Linked DNA regions of Mus musculus. The protein of the gene in region 3 interacts with the protein of the main gene of each other region in a pairwise test. Links are inferred from orthologs where the notes say so. Each region holds a gene or a part of one and is shown on either strand. Other genes may lie near its edges.

Region 1 (4,208 bases), on a different chromosome or scaffold from region 3:
TTCTATATGGTCAAAGCTGGCCCTGACCATGCTATCTATGTAGCTAAGGGAGCAGGGCACGAACTGTTGTTCCTCTGGCCTCTACCAGCCCTCCCTCCCCCCGTACTGGGATTAGGGGTTTTGTACCATCAGGTGTTTTTGGTTTGTTTGTTTGTTTTTGCCTTTAAGGTAAGCTACTGTGCCGGCTAGTTGCTTCTTTTGCTTTGCATTTTGTCAACTTAGCCATACCTGGAAAGAGGAAACTCAAATGAGGAATTGCCTCCATCAGACTGGCCTGCAGGCAGGTCTGTGGGGGCATTTTCTTTTTCTTGAGACAGGGTCTTGCTGCATGATCCTGTAGGGCATTTTAGTGATCAACAACTGATATAGAAGGGCCCCCACTCACTGTGGGCAGCGCCACCACTGGGCAGGTGGTCCTAGGTTATCTATGAAAGCAGGCTGAACAAGCCATGAAAAGCCAGGTTCTGCCACGTTGATTCTGGTTATGTCCTTGTCACAGCAAGAGACTCCTAGTGAGGACAAATGTCAAGTAATAGGGATATTGTGTCATTATCATACATACACATCATTTGCACTGCTTGCCTGCCGCAGCCACAGCCCCCTCCATCGGGTGTTCTTACAGGAGCCTTTGAGGTCAGAAGTGTCTGCAACATTCTTTTTGAAAGTCTGCCAAGTCTCCAGCTTGCACTAGGGCCCTGTGAGTTTAGGGTTTTAGAACATGGGAAGGTTCCCTCTCTATTTCTTATATCCCAAGAGATAGGGGAGGCTGATTTCAGCAATGAGCTAAGCTGAGAGCCAGCCTGGGATGAGAACACTAAACATCTGTGGGTGCTTCTCCAATGAAACCAGAGGTAACCCAATAGACTCAGGTGCTTACTAGAGCTACATTCCTGTACTGCTAGATAGACTGTGCTCTCAGCGAGCAAGGGAGTCTCTTTCTTCCCACCATCTCGATGATGTGGCTGCAGAAATTCTCTTCTTTTCCCCCTAGTATTTATTTTACTTTTTAAGTTATGTGTGTGTGTGTGTGTGTGTGTGTGTGTGTGTGTGTGTATAGTTCCCTGCAGAGGCCATAACAGGGCTTCCAATATCCTGGCTCCCCACAAGTTACAAGTGCTTGAAAGCTGCCTGAATGGGTGCTGGGAACTCAACTTTGTTCTCTGTAAGAGAAACCATTTCTCCAGCCCCGAGCTGTCTCCCCTTTTTTTTTTTCCCCAAGACAGGGTTTCCTGGCTGTCCTGGAACTCCCTCTATAGACCAGGCTGGCCTCAAACTCATAGAGACCCTGCATCTGTGTCTCAAGTGCTGGGACTAACGGTGTGTGCCACCACTGACCTGCCAGTTTTCTCCTTTCTTAAGCTCTATCAGTCGTCAGCTCTTGCCCCATCTATCTGATTCCTTCGCAGGAAAATGCCTGGAGACTTGTCTCAACTGTTTTTTTTCTCGCTCTTTCTGACCCACCACTATAAGCAATGACCTCTAGCTTATTAGCCATAAGGTGATCAGCCTTTAACATCTCAAACAAACTCACCATTGTCAACTCTGTCTCTGCCCTCTCATCTGTCTACTCTGGTAGTTTCTCACCCTCTCATGACCTCTCAAAGTTGGCTGGCCCGACTGGGATATAGGGTTGTGTGGGTCTCAGCCACAAGACTTCTCTTTTCTCCCTATTCATTTAGTCTGATGAAATGTGTATACCAAGGAAAGGCACGTTTTCTTAAATGATGGGACCGGGGAAGGGGAGATGCTTCTCAGCCCAGGATGGGAAGATCACATTTAATTTGAAGAGCACTTACTTAGATGTATCATCTGCCACAGTAATTATATTTAAACCAGTGGTGGTGATGTGTCTGTCTCAAAGGGTATTTATGCAAATAAACACCTTAGCCTCAACCGGTGATGTATGGATCTAGAAGTGTTTTTTAAGAAATCTAGTCAAAGCCAGGCGTGGTGGCGCACGCCTTTAATCCCAGCACTCGGGAGGCAGAAGCAGGCGGATTTCTGAGTTCAAGGCCAGCCTGGTCTACAAAGTGAGTTCAACAACAAAGTGAAAACAACAACAACAACAACAACAACAAAAACCCAAGAAATCTAGTCAAGGGGAGCTGGAGAGATGGCTCAGTGGTTATGAGCACTGACTGCTCTTCCAAAGGTCCTGAGTTGAATTCCCAGCAACCACATGGTGGCTCACAGCCATCTGTAACGGGATCTGATGCCCTCTTCTGGTGTGTCTGAAGACAGCTACAGTGCTCTTATATAAATAAAATAAGTCTTGAAAGAAAGATAAAAGAAAGAAAGAAATCTAGAGAAGGGTAATATCTGCCTTGGTGAAATACCTATTCTGGGATAGTCACTCTTATGAGAGTGGTCTTGCTCTCGATCTCCTCTGAGAGGGATTTACCAGGCTGGCCAACTCATTTCTTCTCGAGACGGGAGGTGGGTATACTCAACATCTAGAAATAAGTTCAAGGAGGCGGGCGTACTTGGTTACATACTACACAGTAACCGCTCTTCAAAAACCCTTCTTCGGTGAGGATGGCGCGCGCTGAGTTAAACTTGGTGAGGCTCGTACCTTGAAGAAAAGAAGCAGATCCATCCGGCCGGGACAGCAGGTTTTGCTCACAAGCAAAGTGCCGGAGACTGCAGACTGGACTTCGGGGGCTGGACTCTGTTCCGGTGTCAGTGAGTAAATTGGCGTCTGCACGCTTTGCGCCCTCCATAGCCGCTGACCACGCGCGCTGCGGCTCCCACCGTAGCTTCCGCTTAGCGGCGCGCGCAGTTCTACCGGCCGCGTACCTATTGCGCATGCGCCCGTCTAGGGCACGCCCGAGTTGGCCCTAGCACGTGGCTCAGCGTTTACTAACAATCTGGTCCCGCCCACCTCCACCTCCCAATTCTGGCATAGCCATTGGACAACAGGGAACAGGGGGAGGGACTTGGAGAGGGCCCATTTTGCTCAGGGCTCCGGGTCCTGAACCCTGAAGGTTCAAGTTAAGTTGTCCTTTTAGTTGCCTGAATTAGGAGCAACTAGAAGCAGACGACCGGAGCAATTTTAGAGACTAAAAATTGCCACCTTACTCATTTATGCGTCTTTGTCGCAAGGTGGTTAGAAGCAGATAGCGTGTTGGCCTAGCGGTGCTGCTATTTGAATAAGGCATCTGGTGGGACAGCCGTATGTCTATCCTGTGAGAAAGGAGGAGTGGTTATTAGCCAAGATGGCGATAGTGATGTCTGCGGCCAAGATCTGGAGGCCGAGCCGTGGCCTGCGCCAGGCTGCTCTTCTCCTGTTGGGACGATCTGGGGTTCGGGGCTTGGCTAGATCTGTGAGTATCTGAGCCCCACGGGGTCTTTCTTAGGGAGAAATAGAGACGTAAAAGTTATTCTTACATTGTGTGAGACACCGCGGGCTGTGAAGGAAAGAAAGAAAAGGTCCGAGAAACTTCTTGAAGAGAAATTCAAGGGAAGAATCCCTTTAGAGGAAAAGCAAGGCAGCTACTTGTGGGCCTCGATAGAAGGAGACGAGACGGGGGTTGAAAGGACAGATCAGGTTTTCATAGGGTCCTACATTGCTTAAATTCCAACTGTAAAGGGAGTTGAGCAAGAAACTGGTTTGATTCCTATGCCACCTGATCAAAAGGCAAGGCAAGGGACTTTGCCATGACTGTCCTTTACACAAGATGATTATGAAGGGAGACAAAGAGAGCTACAAGTTCAAACAGGACCCTTTGCCCACGTTATTTTTTTGAGACAGGATCTCACCCACGAGTCCGGAATGGCCTTTAGCTCACCCAGATGCTTAGACAGGCATCGAACTGGAGATAGTCCTGTCCCAGCCTCCCAAGTACTGGCATTACAGATGTAAGCTACGGTGCTTGGCTGCCCACTTTTCTTGAAAACACTGGAGAAAACTCGGAATTCCCTTTTGATCCATTGTTGATAAGGGCAGGATAACACTTCCAAAATCTGTTGCGGTCTGGCAATGTACCACCACAGTGTAGAATGCTTGCCTAGCACGCGCCACGTCCAGAGTTTGGCTCCTAGCCCTGTGTGTTTGTTTATCTGGATATGGCGACACATGTCTGTAATTTCAGCGCTTGGGAAGTAGGAGAGGAGGCATTTGAGGCCAGGTTGAGTTACGTGAGACCCTATCTCAAAAAAAAAAAAAAAAGATTTTTAAAAATGGTTTACTTATTTTTATTTCACGTGCA
Region 2 (4,093 bases), about 37 Mb from region 3:
ACTTAAAATATCCCTAACACATCGGCCTCCCTCTAACACATCAGCCTCCCTCTAACACATCAGCTTCCCTCTAACACATCAGCTTCCCCTCTAACACATCAGCTTCCCTCTAACACATCAGCTTCCCCTCTAACACATCGGCCTCCCTCTAACACATCAGCTTCCCTCTAACACATCAGCTTCCCCTCTAACACATCAGCTTCCCTCTAACACATCAGCTTCCCCTCTAACACATCGGCCTCCCTCTAACACATCGGCCTCCCTCTAACACTTCAGCTTCCCCTCTAACACATCAGCCTCCCTCTAACACATCAGCCTCCCTCTAACACATCAGCTTCCCCTCTAACACATCAGCCTCCCCTCTAACACATCGGCCTCCCTCTAACACATCGGCCTCCCTCTAACACATCGGCCTCCCTCTAACACATCAGCTTCCCCTCTAACACATCAGCTTCCCCTCTAACACATCGGCCTCCCTCTAACACATCAGCCTCCCTCTAACACATCAGCTTCCCTCTAACACATCAGCTTCCCCTCTAACACATCGGCCTCCCTCTAACACATCAGCTTCCCCTCTAACACATCAGCTTCCCTCTAACACATCGGCCTCCCTCTAACACATCGGCCTCCCTCTAACACATCAGCTTCCCCTCTAACACATCAGCTTCCCTCTAACACATCGGCTTCCCTCTAACACATCGGCCTCCCTCTAACACATCGGCCTCCCTCTAACACATCAGCTTCCCCTCTAACACATCAGCTTCCCTCTAACACATCGGCCTCCCTCTAACACATCAGCTTCCCTCTAACACATCAGCTTCCCTCTAACAGCTTCCTGCTTAGCTGCTTTGTCTACATCGCATATCCAAGATGGCTGAAATGGAAGTAGCGTAAGTAGCGTGACACACCTCCTATGGCTCCATCTGAGTTCCTGTTTATCTCTACTTTGCTTGTTTTATTCGCCACCTAGCTCCCCTTCCAGAATACAATCCCCAACCTGTTCACCATCTCCTCAGAACCTGGGCCAGTACCTTCCTTATAGGGTGCCCAATAATGACTATCTATCATGGGGCAGAGGAGATGGCTTAGTAGGTAAAAGAGCTTGCCACACAATTCTGATGACCTGAATTCGGTTCCAGGGACCTACATAAGAAAACCAGATGCAGTGTCGAGCATCTGGAACCCCAGCACTCTCTCCCCATTAGCTGGAGGCTCACGGCCCAGCTATGGAGTGCACTGCCCTACTCTGAAGGCACAGAGATCTTCCCTTAGCAACTGGAAGAGGAGAACACAACAACAACGACTACCTTAGTTTTTAGAGACGACATCTTACCACATAGCCCTAGATGGTCCAGAACTCAGTACTCACGCTAGGCTGGCCTGGAACTCGGAAAGATCTACCTACCTCTGTCTTCCCAGTACTGGGGATGAAAGGCATGTACCACTGTACTCGGGGAGAACTGACTCTTGACAAATTTCATGCATACAGCCTGGTGCACATGCATACTCACACTCATCCACACACACATGCAAACACACACCTACACAGCAAATGTAAAAGAGTCTACCTTGAATAATTCAAACGGCCTTACAATAACCCAACTATAGGAGTTCTAAGCTACCTTTGCACCTCTTGACAGTAAACAATACAAGGGCAAGCTCCAGCCGGGCAGTGGTGGCGCACACCTTTAATCCCAGCATTTGGGAGGCAGAGAGGCAGGCAGATTTCTGAGTTCAAGGCCAGCCTGGTCTACAGAGTGAGTTCCAGAATAGCCAGGGCTACACAGAGAAATCCTGTCTCAAAAAAATCAAAATCAAGCAAACAAACAAACAAAAAACTAAACTTCTTTCAAAGAGGTTTCACCCCATTTCCTCACTTATTATCTCTTTTCTAAGAGGAAGAAAGACACGACTTGTTTGGAATGAGCTGTGACCCCGATAATGTGTGGAGGAGGAGAAGGTAGGTGGTCCACACACGGCAGCTCTGCCCTAGATGAGATCCCATCCCAAACACTAGTTTGTTTAGTGACAGTGTCTTACTCTGAATCCCAGGCTGGCCCCCAAGTCGCAACCATCCTCCTGCTTCAGCCTCCCGTAATGCTAGTTTTATAGGCGAGTGGCATGCCTGACTCTCAAGTCGCTCTAGTCTATAACTTGGGGGGAGGCGCGCGGGCACGGGGGTTGGGGGCAGCCTAACTCTTACCAATAGCAAACTTGATTAGGGTTTCATTCTCTTCCGACAGAGAATCAAGGAATAAGTCCAGGACTTGTAGTTGCCGTAGGTACTGGTAGTTGCCCGGGTCATAAGCGAAGTTGGCGAGGTTGGCGAGGACTTGCTCCTTGGCATCTGCAATGGGAAGCAGCCCTGGGGTCGGACCTGTGCGGCGGCGGCTGCCGTCAGAACCCTCCTGGGTCCCTCGTGCCCACGCTACACCTCTTACCTTGGCTCTCGGTTTCCTGGAACTCTGTGACCAGCGCCTGCAAGTAGCCTAGCCGCCCGACGTGGGGGTCTATCTTGGGTTTCTGTGCCATGGCTGGGGCGGCGGAGTTGGGAGCTCCGGTAGAGGCCACAAGGCCTGGATCCTGACCTGTCCCGGCGGCGACAGAGCGGCAGCAAACCCAGTCTTGTCCTGAGATCCGCGTCTGCAGCTGGGGATGAGCTGTGGGGGTGGCCAGGGGTCTCAGGATCCTGTCTGAGCCGGATCTGAAAACCAAAATTCAACCCGGGCGAGACGCTGTGGCTTTTCGGAACTGAAGGCAGGCACGCCCCCTTACCACACTCCCTGCACCGCTTCCTGGTTCAGGGCGGAAGTCTCTCTAGCCCCGCCCCAGGAAACGGAGTGAGCGGGACCAGGACGGGATTGGGCGTGGTTACTGGGCGCCTCCTGGGCTTCCCTCCGGATTTCTAGAGCTGGAGGCTTTAACCCTCCACTGCGCAGCCGCCGCAGCGGGGATGCGTCGAAGGAGAGAGGAAGGGAGAGGGGAGGGAAAGAGGAGAAAAGGAGAGAGAGAATGGTGGATGGATTGACAGCCGGGCAGACGGATCTTCAGGCCATCTAGACATGATAGTAGTTTAATCCCAGAACACGGAGTTTAAGGACGGTTTAGTCTACAAGGCAATCCAGAGCTACATGGCAAGACCCTGGTAACAAAACAGAACATCCATCAAACCCCAAACACAATCTTAGGGTCACAAGGAGCGTCAGGGAGGGGCCCAGCTTTGCCGTGCTGTGGTGGAGGTGGAGGATGGAGGCAGTAAGGGTTTTTAGGGCAAGGGTCAGGGGTCATGTACTATGTTTGGTACCAGGGACCTGAATCACAGCAGAATGGTTTGTGTACTTCACCTTTCCCTGGCCCCCACCTCTGGGGTTTAAGTTCCAGTGATCAATCCATGCCCAACATCAACCAAGAGCAAGAGTTTTAGTCTTAGTTTGGATGCTTGAGAACCAAGGTTGCTCCGTGAGAACTCTGTGCCCTTTAGGTTTTATAAGAAGCAGGCTAGGCAGACTTCTTACATCTCAGCTCAAGATGGCCAAGCGTCTGACTAGTCAGAACATCAAAGACCTGGGGACCTGGAGCCTTTGAGATTCCAGAACAAATACTTTGCAGACTCCCCTCAAAATTTTCCAGGGATGGTCCAAAGCAGATCCTGGCTACAAAAGAGTAGACTTTGCTTCCATCTTGTCTCCAAGCCCCAGGCTCCAAAGAACTGGGATTACAGCACACCTGGGCATGGGTGGGGCTGGAGATGGAAGTGAAGGTTTGATGTACGTGACTAAACTACATTTGCACCCTCATTTCTTCGTTGCTTATTGCCCTCAGATTAATGCCATTATTACCAACGGGCAAGTGTGATGAAAATTTCCTAGCTGGAGGATCACAGATTCTATTTTTCCTGGACGTGGGCCTGTTAGCCAGCCCCAACTCTGTTTTCTGTTAGAATGAAAAATAGGTCCCTGGCATTTGCCCTTCAGAGTAGAAACTTCCTTGGGGGGTGGGGGTGGGGTCAAGCTCAGTTCTGAGTTGCGATCCGGAAAGCAGTAGGGGACATTAGACAGAGAGGCAGACTTCAATTGGAAGATGGCATCTCATA
Region 3 (3,516 bases):
ATGTAGTGGACACTGGCCTCAAATTTCTGCTCCTCCTGTCCCCACCTCTAAGTGCTAGGGTTACAGATGTAACCACACCCAGCCTAAGTATGATACACAAGCATACAGTTTTCTATGTGCAATCTCAAGGAATTCTGAGGCTCTGTTAGAACTTGTATGGGGGAGGAAAAGATATATATTCTAGATCTATTGGGTCAAGCCCAGCCTTGGAGTCAGCTCAAGATGCTCCCTTCCTCCTCTCCCTTACCCAGCATGCCCGCATGCAATGGCTCACCTTCTTTGTCAGTCAGCACCTCCATTCGCCCACTGAACATGGCCTTGAGCATGGTGTCGTGCCGGGTGAGGGCCCGCACTGTGGTGTAGTACAGGGAGCCTCCCACATTGAGCTGCACGTACTTGTTGCCCAGCCCGCCTCCCTTGAAGCCACTGATCTTGGGCTTGGCCCCCGAGGCTGGACACAGACAGGTGTCCCCTGACATCTCCCGCTGCAGGTAGATCACCACACGGCAGGAGGTAGGCTTAGAAGGTTCTGCCGTGGTGGAAGTGATCACGAGTGAGTGGCCCTCAGAGGCCAGGGCCTCATACTCTCAGTGCCTGTAAGCAAGAGGTAGAGAGAACACTAAAGTCAGCAGAGAGGTCACAGGGAGGAGGGACAGCAGAGGGAACTCTGACACAGTTTACTTTGTAGAGAAGCCCTTCCTCACTGTACGAGTTAGATTCTTGTCAACTTGACACAAGCTAACATCACCTGGGAGGAGACCCTCGCTTGAGAAAATGCCTCTATCATACTGGCCTGGAAGCAAGTCTCTGGGAGCATTCTCTTGATTAATAATTGATGAGGGGCAGAGATTGGGGGGAACCATCCCGGGGAAGGTAGTTCTGGGTGGCATACGAAGGCATTCTAGGGGCCGGAGAGATGGCTCAGCCCTTAAAGGATAGGCTCACAACCAAAAATATAACAAGTCACGCCGGCAAGCCAGTAAGCAGTACCCCTCTGTGGCCTCGGCTTCAGTCCCTACCCCCGGGTTCCTGTCGCCAGGTTCCTTTCCCCATTTCCCTTAAGGAAGAACTGTGACCTGGGAAGTCTAAGCCGAGTAAACTCTTTCCTCCCCAAGTTGCTTTTGGTCACAGTGTTTTATCACACCAGTAGAATGCAAACTCGGACAGTGGGCAACAGGAAGAATGCCCCGCACGCTGTTCTCACGGTACCAGGAGCCAGGTCTGGGATCACAGTCTCCCTGTGGTGTGGGCATCTCACCAGCTCCTCTAGGATCAGCTCTGCTTCCGGCTGCAGGGAAAAACCCTTCAAACTAGCTAAGGGTCGGATGAGCAGATCTCCCTGGGATCTACCAGAATGGCTCCAGAAAATGTTTTTCCAAGATTCCCAGGATTCCAGGCGTCCAGACTAACCAACTGGGAATCTAGCCAGCCTCGGATTTTCCCAGGAGCCAGGGGGACAGGATACACTTCCTGTCTCAGGAATAGCCCCCTCCAGGATTCAGGTTATCATTAGTCAAAGGAAGCCAGGATCCAGGAAGGAAAGTGAGTGTGGTTCTAAGAGCACGGGGAGAGCCGCTGTAGGGGCAGCCGGCCAGGGAGCTTGGCAGGAGTTACCTGAGCTGCCCCCTTCTCAGCCCCAGCCCTGCCCCAGGTTCCTGTAACTGTCACCTTTCTCAAGGCACAGCAGACAGGGCTGTTGTGCTGCTTTCCCCCAAGAGCCCTTTTTCTTCCTTCCCATCAAGAATGGGGGGAGCCGGGCGTGGTGGCGCACGCCTTTAGTCCCAGCACTCGGGAGGCAGAGGCAGGTGGATTTCTGAGTTCGAGGCCAGCCTGGTCTACAGAGTGAGTTCCAGGACAGCCAGGGCTACACAGAAAAACCCTGTCTCGAAAAAAAGAATGGGGGGAACAGACACAATGACCCTAAAAATGAGTAAGCTCAAAACTGAAAGGAAAACACTAACAGTTCAGAGACCCGAGAAATGACTAAAGGAAAAGCTGGTGCTCGTTCCTCGTTTGCTTTCAGTTATTTTTCTTTTTTGGTTTTTCAAGATACAGGTTCTCTGTGTGGCCCTGGCTGTCCTGGAACTCACTTTGTAGACCAGGCTGGCCTCGAACTCAGAAATCCGCCTGCCTCTGCCTCCCAAGTTCTGGGATTAAAGGCGTGCTCCACCACTGCCCGGCTCTTATTCTGTTTTTATTGCTGCTATTTACATTCTTAATTCTAAACCTGTAGATGGAAAGAAGTTTGAATGTAAAAAAAAACATTAAGTCCTAGCTGGGCATGGTGGTGCACACCTTTAGATCCAGCACCAGGGAGGCAGAGGCAGGCAGAACTCTGTGAGTTCTAGGCCAGCCTCATCTACAGAGGGAATTCCAAGACAGCCAGTTACATAGTGAGACCCTGTCTCAAAAAAATACAATAAATAAATAAATAAAAGCTGGGTGAGGTAGTGTAATCCTAGCACTTGGGAGACAGAGCAGGTAAATCTCTCGAGTTGAGGCCAGCCTGGTCTACAGAGGGAGTTCCTGGACAGTTAAGACTATACAGATCTCTATCAAAAATGAACAAAAGATTGAATTTTCACTGAAAGTATAGAGACTTACCGTGGTTGCCACCCCTAAACAGCACAGTATAAAAATTATTTATATCACACTTCATACATTTACAGTATTAGTATTATTAAATAAGCCAGAGATAATAGAAGGAATTCAGGAGGGTGTGTATAGATTATATGTAAATATACAGCATTTAATGTCATAAAGAACTTGAGCATTCTCAGATTTTGGTATTTGCAAAAAACCTAGAGTTGGGGCTGGAGAGATGGCTCAGAGGTTAAGAGCATTGACTGCTCTTCCGAAGGTCCTGAGTTCAAATCCCAGCAACCACATGGTGGCTCACAACCAACTGTAATGAGATTGGATGCCCTCTTCTGGAGCGTCTGACAGCTACAGTGTACTTACATATAATAAATAAATAAATAAATCTATCTTTAAAAAAGAAAACAACCTAGAGTCAATGCCACACAGACATGAAGGGATAATTGGATGATGATGGCATTTTTTTGAGATGTCTATGATGTTGCATTGGATGTTCTAGACCTTGATATATAGACTAAGCTGATCTCAAACTCAGTGATCCACCTGCCTCTGCCTCCTGAGTGCCGTGATTAAATGACAGTGCCACTGCTCCTGTCTGTAATCTTTTGGCTTATCCAAACTACCACTAACCAGGCCAAGGATGGTGGCTCACATCTATAATCCAGCACTTGGAAGTCTGAGGCAGTCTGGACTACAGAGACGCCATCACAAGGTTAAAAAAAAGGAAGAAGACTAAGCTGTACCTTAATTGGCAGAATGCTTGTCTAGCATGCATGAGGCTCTGGGTTTGATTCCCAGCAGCATATAAACTACATGTGATGGCCCATGCCTATACTCCAAGCATAGGATGATGGAGGCAGGCAGACCAGGTATCTCAGCTACCAAGAGTACAAGTGGCTCTGCCTGAAAAACCAACCA
Region 4 (3,500 bases), on a different chromosome or scaffold from region 3:
TTTGGTGTGTCTGAAGACAGCAACAGTGTACTGACACACACACACACATATATATATATAATATAAATAAATAAAACCTTTTTTTTTTTTAAGATGAGCAGTCAGTGCTCTTAACCACTGAGCCATCTCTCCATGCCTGGCTCATAAATAAATTCTTAAAAACAAAATGTTGAAAGAAGCCAGGTGGTGGTGGCACACACCTTTCCTCCCAGCACTTGGGAGGCAGAAGCAGGTGGACTTCTGAGTTCAAGGCCAGCCTGGTCTACAAAGTGAGTTCCAGGACAGCCAGGGCTACACAGAGAAACTCTGTCTCGAAAAAAAACAAAACAAAACAATACAAAAAAAAAAAAAAAAATCAACTGAGAAATTAACCCCATCGGACTGGCTTGTGTGTATGTCTGTGGAGCATTTTCTGGATTAATATAGGAGGGACCAAATCATTGTGGGCAGTACCACTCTTAAGACAAGTTGGTCTGGATTGTGTAAGAAAGCAAACTGAGCAAGCAATGGAGAGAACACCAATAAACAGTGCTCCCAAGTGGTCTCTGGTTTAGTTCCTGCTTCCAGACTCCTGCTTGAATTTCTGCTCTTAATTCTCTCAACAATAGATTGTGACATTGCTTTTGGTCATGGTATTTTATCATACTAACAGAAACCTAACTAGGACAGCCCTAAACTGACTGCTGGTTGCTCACAGGTGAGCGCAGCAGACTGTGTGGGACTTTGGAGAGGCATAGCTGATTTCTCCACAGGAGCTGCTTAATTGAGCCTTATGAATAACGCACTCTCCCTCACAAGTACTGGCCATCCTCCTCTGACACAAATGCCCACAGTACCAAGCACTTCCCTCCCAACACACACATTCATTATCCCCATCTTCTACTTCCCCTTACATTGGCATACCAGACATGCTCATGGATCCTGGTCCAATCTGGTCCTGCCTCTGCTAGTAAAAGGTATGTACTACTACCTACCTGAAGGGCACAGCCTCCACCAAACTTATCTCTGAAAACTGGCTGAGAAAAGGTCCAACAGGCCACCTGACCAAACACCTCAGCCCTCTACCCCTAGAACTGTAACTGCCCCTTTCTGAATAGGCTTTAACTGTGGTCCTATCATGATCATAAGGTGTGTTCAGGAGACTAAATAGAGCATTCAGCACAGGACCCTACTGAATAGGATGTCTGCCTCACAGGAGGAAGGGCAACATCAGTCTCAGTTTCTCAGCTACACAGCAAGTTGAGGTCAGCCCAAGATATACAAATCTCAAAAGAAAGATGGAAGAAAGGATGGACAGACAGGAGTGGTGAAAACAGAACTGAAGACTCAAAACCTCTGACATCAGGTAGACAACAAAGGAAGGAGATGAGAGGTCTGAGACCCTCCTAGGGCTGCCTTCACATTCTGCCAGAGTAAAGCAGCTTGGCACCTGTCTTCTAAAGACCTGGAGACCAGCACTATCAAGTACAGACACATACTCGCACATCTCCTCCCTACAGTACATGGGGCACTAGCATCACCTGAAGACATTCACTACAAACATCTACCCACTGTCTGTAATGACAACCTTGTCAATACTATTAGTATCCGTTGAGGTGGTAAATGCCAAAGAAGGTTGCTTAAAGACTTAAGAACTAGACGGGCGTGGTGGCGCACACCTTTAATCCCAGCGCTCGAAAGGCAGAGGCAGACGGATTTCTGAGTTTGAGGCCAGCCTGGTCTACAAAGTGAGTACAGCCAGGGCTATACAGAAAAACCCTGTCTCAGGAAAAAAAAAAAAAAAGACTTAAGAACTTGTATACAGGGCTGGCGAGATGGCTCAGTGGTTAAGAGCACCGACTGAGCTGGGCGTGGTGGCGCACGCCTTTAATCCCAGCACTCGGGAGGCAGAGGCAGGTGGATTTCTGAGTTCGAGGCCAGCGTAGTCTACAGAGTGAGTTCCAGGACAGCCAGGGCTATACAGAAAAACCCTGTCTCAAAAAAACCAAACAAGCAAACAAAGAACTTGTATATAGCCAGGCAGTGGTGGTGCATGCTGTTAATCCTAGCACTTGGGAGGCAGAGGCAGGTGGATTTCTGAGTTCAAGGCCAGCGTGGTCTACAGAGTGAGTTCCTGGACAGCCAAGGCTACACAGAGAAACCCTGTCTCGAAAAACCAAAATAAAAAAAAAAAAAAAAAAAAAAAAAAGCTATTTGTACAGATACTTCCAGGCGCCCTCAGGGGACGCCTATGAGCAGAACAATGATACCTGTGTGGCTTGGGACTATGAGGTCAAATTTCCCTAATCATTTCCTGCTGGTCCCTCCAGCACCTCTCCAGGGCTTCCTGAAATTCACTGTGGTGAGTTTGAGGGTTAGTAGGAACATGGCCTCCAGGATAGAAAAGCTTGTACAATGCTGTTTTCAGGACCACAGGGAACTGAGAAGCCAAGAGGTCACATCCCTAAACTACACTGTCCTACTACTTCCTCTGCTCAGGGAAAGCTATTCACCAAAGGAGACCCACCCTGTCTCAGTGTGGTCCTGGGGCATGGTCTCATTCCATCACATCAGCTAAAATATTCTTAGAGTCAATTACTACAAGGTCAATCCCAAAAATTAATCATAAAAATCCTTCTGGCTAAGCATGGAGGTATATATGCATCTTTAATCCTAGCACAGGGGAGGCAGGAGGAGGACTGCTGATTTCAAAGTCTGGTATTCATAGCAAGTCCTAAACAGCAAGGGCTACCTACATAAATGAAAGATTCTTCCCTTTCCCATGAAGAAGAATTCTCACACATGGCCAGTGGTGGGTTGGGTATCAAGGTACCGAAGCACTCATAGTAAAAGCACAAAACAGGAACACAGAAACATGGGACAGCCCTTCAAGTATCAGGTGCTGACCAGAGAAGACCCACCTTTGTTTGCTGGAGGTCTCTTCAGCTTTGGGTCGCCAGCCCCATGGTACCAGCTGCAGGTTGTCCAGGCGATTGTCCACAGTCACAGCATTGAGATGTACCACCTGAAACCCGGGAGCCACACCTCCCCTGTGTCGTTCCCTAGGGAAAGACATTTTTCTTGAGGGTGAGGCCTCAAGCACCTCTATTCAAGCATCAATACCCAGCCACACAGGAATACCAGTTATCTGGTCAGAACTGGGCCCATATTCTGAAGTGGCATACCAGGAGGAAGCCAAGCACATCATCATGGCCCACACAGACAGGGAACTTGCCTCAGAGGACAATAGAGAGAACCCTCAAACCAACAAAATTATCTAGAGTTAAGTTTCCCATTTGGATACCAACATTTCAAACCACCTTACCCATCTATGATCAATGACCCCGTTTCTAAGGATGTAACCTATGACTCACCAGAAGGATCCATGGGTCTCATCTCATCAAAATCCCACTAGTTGTTTAAAGTGATATGTACATTAGTCACTCCTTTGGGTTAGTGGCAAAGCTCACAAACTCCCAGACTTAAAGAAGATAACGTTAGTCTGACTACTTTGGGTAGAA
Region 5 (4,010 bases), on a different chromosome or scaffold from region 3:
GGCTGGCCTTGAACTCAGGACACATCTGCCTGCCTCTGCCAGTGCTTGGAGTAAAGCTGTCCACCACCGTGCCTGGCCATATCAACTCTAATACCAGGCTGACAAGAAGGCTCACAGAGTGAGGGTGCATGCTTGCTCCAACCTGAAGACCCAAGTTCAATCCCCAGGAAGAATGTAAAGGTGGAGAGAGCCTGAGTGCTGCTAGCGCTGTGTTCCGAGGGTGTACACAGTGAGACTAGAGGTGGGGTGGGGACAGCTGTTCTCCCAGGCGAAGGCAGATGTACAAGATGCCAACTAAAGCCCCAGCAGTAGGCCTGGGACCTGAGCCCATGCATTCCAGGTCAGTTCTGCCTAACTCATAATCCCAAGCTCTCAGCCTCACCTTGGTTCCGATATTCAAAGAGACGAGGATCAGCGAGGATGGGGATGAGCCCCAGGCGGTGAGCAAGGATCTCATCCTGGACTATGGACGTGTTGTTATACACCAAGACCTTCTCCACGGCCATTGTCGGCACCTGCCCAAGGAGGCAAAGCAGACAACTGACCTCCACCCATCCCCCTGCCTGGAAAAGGAAGAGGCAGCACTTTTTCATTTTGCCCTTCAGATTCTTTTTTTTTTTTTTGGTTTTTTGAGACAGGGTTTCTCTGTATAGCCCTGGCTGGCCTGGAACTCAGAGATCCACCTGCCTCTGCCTCCCGAGTGCTGGGGTGCTGGGACTAAAGGCGTGTGGCTCAGATTCTTGATACAATGTTTACTATGTAGCCCAGACTGTCATAGGTGTGAACCACCCTACCTGCCCCAGAGGGATGGCTTTGAGAAAAGCGTCTACAAATTGATACAATTTCTACCCTCCAGCCCACGTCCTCTAATACCTCAGCTAACAGGATTCTCCGGAAAGCATTGGCGATGGCAGCATCAATCCCCACCATGTCGAACTCCAGCGTGTCTTCATCCATTTGCACCACGTCCACACGGAAATTCTAGAAGGAGGGAAGCTCCTGCATGACTCCTGCCTGGCTCCTACCCTGCACTATCCCCTCACCCTAAAGTCATGGTGCTCAGTAGACATTTTGTCTCCAGTCCTGTTCTTGGGGGCAAGGCTGTGTGTTTCTTGTTTTTTAGGTTTTTCCAAGGCCAGGTTTCTCCATGTAGTCCTGGCTGTCCTGGAACTCTGTAGACCAGGCTGGCCTCAAACTCAAAAGATCCACCTACCTCTGCCTACCAAGTACTGGGATTAAAGGTGTGCGCCACTATGCCCAATCTTCCCAGATTTTCCACAAACCACCCAGAGAAGTTACTATACAAAAAGCAGAACTTCCCACACTACTTAGACCGTTTGATACTTGCATGTCTGTTGTCGTTATTTTTTAATACCTACTTTTCTCAACTACATTCCCTTGGATTTTGAACACCAATTTCCTTATCTGCTCTTCTTTCTAAATTTCCCCTTCCACCCACACAGTAAACGTTCCTGTCTCCTAGGTTCTAATCCCCTGGCTGACCTCCACCATGCTCCTGGCTCAAGCAAGCACATAGACTTCACAAGCAGGCACCTGAGTGTACCCTCATTCTTGTTCTCCTGCTTGGCAAACGACACAGCCAGCAACAGTTCCCCAGTGCCACTGGAGAAATGGCTCAGCTATTAAGAGCACTTAACTGCCCTTGCAGAAGAACTGGGTTTGGTTCCCAGCACCTGGTGGGACCTAACATTCTCCTCACACTGCAGGGATCACTAACACACAGTGGTGCACAAATACACATGCAGGCAAACACGCATATCAAGAAAGTTTTAGGGTCCTCAAGTTACAAAGTCCTTTCTCTCACACACTGCCTCCCCAGAGCACTGGTGCAAATCGTCTAGTTCTCCCTGCCTTACTCCGTTAGTACTGTCTGGAGTTCATCTATGCCCCCAATTTCAGCCTGCATACACTAGCTGGCAGATTCACCAGAATTCATTCCCTCCTGGCTATCAAGATTGCAAAATGTTATCAGTCTACTCAAAAATTCTAAATTGGGCGTGGTGGCTCATGCCTTTAATCCCAGTGCATGGGAGGCAGAGACAGAAGCAGGTAGATGGCTGAGTTCAAGTCCAGCCTGGACTATAGAGAGAGTGCCAGGGCTAAACAGAAACAGTTTCAAAGTGAATTTTAAAAAAATCATATATAATGAAGCTCCAATCAGGCCTTCACTACTCAACTTTTATTCATAGTTCAAAGCTTAATTCAAATGCCATTCCCTTCACTGACCTTTAACTACGTCCCTTCAGTTAGCTGGATTCAGTGCATCAATGATTCCTGACCATATCCCAGCCATCTTCACCGCTATCTTACTATTCTGGAATAACTTGTCTGTGTGGTCCATTATCCCACCGAGAGCAACCACCGTGTCTGACCCGTCCATGGAGCTCAAGCGTGTTGTATGGAAACAGCGACCCCCACCCCAACCTGCGAGGTCTGGCCCCTCGGGCCGACTGGGCACCTTCAGCTCTACCCACCTTCTCGAAGCGGTTCTGGTCCCAGGCATCATCATAACCGGCGTAGTTACCGGGAAAGTCCGTGGTGTGGACCTAGAGCCAACAGAAAGGGCAGTGTGGCCAGCCTTCACACCAGGCCTCTACTTCCCCGTGCCGCCCTCATCCTTCCCGCGCCCCGATCTCTTACATTGCGAACCCCAAACTCTCCGAGAACCACGCGAGTCCGCATCTCCTCCACCGCCTGAGCCGCCGCCATCTTCCGCCACTCGCTGTAAAAGGAGGCGAGTCCGCGCCTGCGTCTCCGCAGCAACGCTCGGGCTCCCGCAATCTTGAATGTCGCGAGATCTTGCCCCGCCTCTGTCCACGTCCTTCACTTCCGGACGTCAAGTGGGGCCAAACATCCGGGTTTCTCCCTTCGGCGTCCCGGCGGATCCCCACCTTGCCCGGGCGGTCGCCCCTCTGAACCTCTCCCTCCCTCGGACCCGGGTCGCACGCTCTTCCCACGCGCGCGTGCTCCAGCGACGGGAAGCCTCGAGGGACATGGCGACTCCGGCGGCGCCGGCCAGCGGCGTCCGAAATGGTGCTGGCCCGGAATGGGGAGGCTTCGAAGAAAACATCCAGGTATGGAGCGCGCCTGCTGCCAGCAGCCCCGGGCTGGCGGCGTCCGGACGGTGGCTGCTGTTCTCTCTCGCGGGGCCTAGAGGTCGGCTCCGCTGAAACGCAGCCTGTCCCCTTTGAGTCTTCCCGGGGAAGGGTGTAGCTCTTGTGCTGGCGTGAAAGGGACAAACTAGGGCTCCCGCGGGCCTCGGCTCTCTGTGGGGGCTGGAGGCTAGGATCCACTGGCACCCCCTAAAAATAGGCTTGTTTGAGAATTGGGAATGGCAGATGGGCTCTTTTGCAACTCTTTGGAGCTTTGAGGTGGAAAGTAGGAAAACAACGTGGATTGAAAATAAATAGTAGGGTTTCCAGGACCACAAAAGTGACGCGACCAAGAGTTGCCACCACTGAAAGAGTGGCAGTTCCAAGCCATGTCCTCGGCAGTGGAAGATCAAAGCCTCAAGTTGTCAGCTGAGCGGAGAACGGGGAGGATGCAATGGAAGGGCCCCTCACTCTCCGAGCCGTTGTCTTCACAGGGTGGGGGTTCGGCTGTGATTGATATGGAGAACATGGACGATACCTCAGGCTCCAGCTTCGAGGACATGGGTGAGCTGCACCAGCGCCTGCGGGAGGAAGAAGTAGATGCTGATGCAGCTGCTGCAGAAGAAGAGGATGGGGAGTTTCTTGGCATGAAAGGCTTTAAAGGACAACTGAGCCGGCAGGTAGCAGATCAGGTAAGCCAATGGGGAAAAAAAAAAGGACCTATGCATGTCCTAAATTGATCGAGGTTTTCCACTTAGACCCACACGTAAATCTCGCCGAGACTGAATAACAATCTAGAGCCAAGAGTCTCATCATACCCATTTCCCTTCAGATGTGGCAGGCAGGGAAGAGACAGGCTTCCAGGGCCTTCAGCTTGTATGCCAACATTGACATCCT

Evidence for each region.
Region 1: the proteins of Tnfaip1 (region 3) and Exosc5 interact in binary tests that used the Homo sapiens proteins (3 or more experiments, as listed by UniProt). The two-hybrid records come from large-scale screens. The link is inferred for Mus musculus from reciprocal best matches to the Homo sapiens genes TNFAIP1 and EXOSC5.
Region 2: the proteins of Tnfaip1 (region 3) and Armc7 interact in binary tests that used the Homo sapiens proteins (3 or more experiments, as listed by UniProt). The link is inferred for Mus musculus from reciprocal best matches to the Homo sapiens genes TNFAIP1 and ARMC7.
Region 4: the proteins of Tnfaip1 (region 3) and Zmynd19 interact in binary tests that used the Homo sapiens proteins (3 or more experiments, as listed by UniProt). The two-hybrid records come from large-scale screens. The link is inferred for Mus musculus from reciprocal best matches to the Homo sapiens genes TNFAIP1 and ZMYND19.
Region 5: the proteins of Tnfaip1 (region 3) and Polr1c interact in binary tests that used the Homo sapiens proteins (3 or more experiments, as listed by UniProt). The link is inferred for Mus musculus from reciprocal best matches to the Homo sapiens genes TNFAIP1 and POLR1C.

What each region holds. Positions count from the first base shown.
Region 1 is NC_000073.6:25,657,748-25,661,955, reverse strand, and holds the start of Exosc5 (exosome complex component RRP46), read right to left. Parts: upstream 2,804-4,208; 5' UTR 2,721-2,803; coding exon 2,573-2,720; intron 1-2,572. Other genes in the region: Bckdha (2-oxoisovalerate dehydrogenase subunit alpha, mitochondrial), read left to right, coding at 3,216-3,323. UniProt on the Homo sapiens protein: Non-catalytic component of the RNA exosome complex which has 3'->5' exoribonuclease activity and participates in a multitude of cellular RNA processing and degradation events.
Region 2 is NC_000077.6:115,474,376-115,478,468, reverse strand, and holds the start of Armc7 (armadillo repeat-containing protein 7), read right to left. Parts: upstream 2,803-4,093; 5' UTR 2,533-2,802; coding exon 2,442-2,532; intron 2,348-2,441; coding exon 2,204-2,347; intron 1-2,203. UniProt on the Homo sapiens protein: As a component of the minor spliceosome, involved in the splicing of U12-type introns in pre-mRNAs.
Region 3 is NC_000077.6:78,529,754-78,533,269, forward strand, and holds part of Tnfaip1 (BTB/POZ domain-containing adapter for CUL3-mediated RhoA degradation protein 2), read right to left. Parts: intron 595-3,516; 5' UTR 480-594; coding exon 275-479; intron 1-274. UniProt on the Homo sapiens protein: Substrate-specific adapter of a BCR (BTB-CUL3-RBX1) E3 ubiquitin-protein ligase complex involved in regulation of cytoskeleton structure.
Region 4 is NC_000068.7:24,952,777-24,956,276, reverse strand, and holds part of Zmynd19 (zinc finger MYND domain-containing protein 19), read right to left. Parts: intron 3,042-3,500; coding exon 2,901-3,041; intron 1-2,900. UniProt on the Homo sapiens protein: May be involved as a regulatory molecule in GPR24/MCH-R1 signaling.
Region 5 is NC_000083.6:46,245,234-46,249,243, forward strand, and holds the start of Polr1c (DNA-directed RNA polymerases I and III subunit RPAC1), read right to left. Parts: upstream 2,813-4,010; 5' UTR 2,731-2,812; coding exon 2,662-2,730; intron 2,568-2,661; coding exon 2,496-2,567; intron 982-2,495; coding exon 874-981; intron 516-873; coding exon 383-515; intron 1-382. Other genes in the region: protein YIPF3, read left to right, coding at 3,015-3,095, 3,608-3,805, 3,946-4,010. UniProt on the Homo sapiens protein: DNA-dependent RNA polymerase catalyzes the transcription of DNA into RNA using the four ribonucleoside triphosphates as substrates.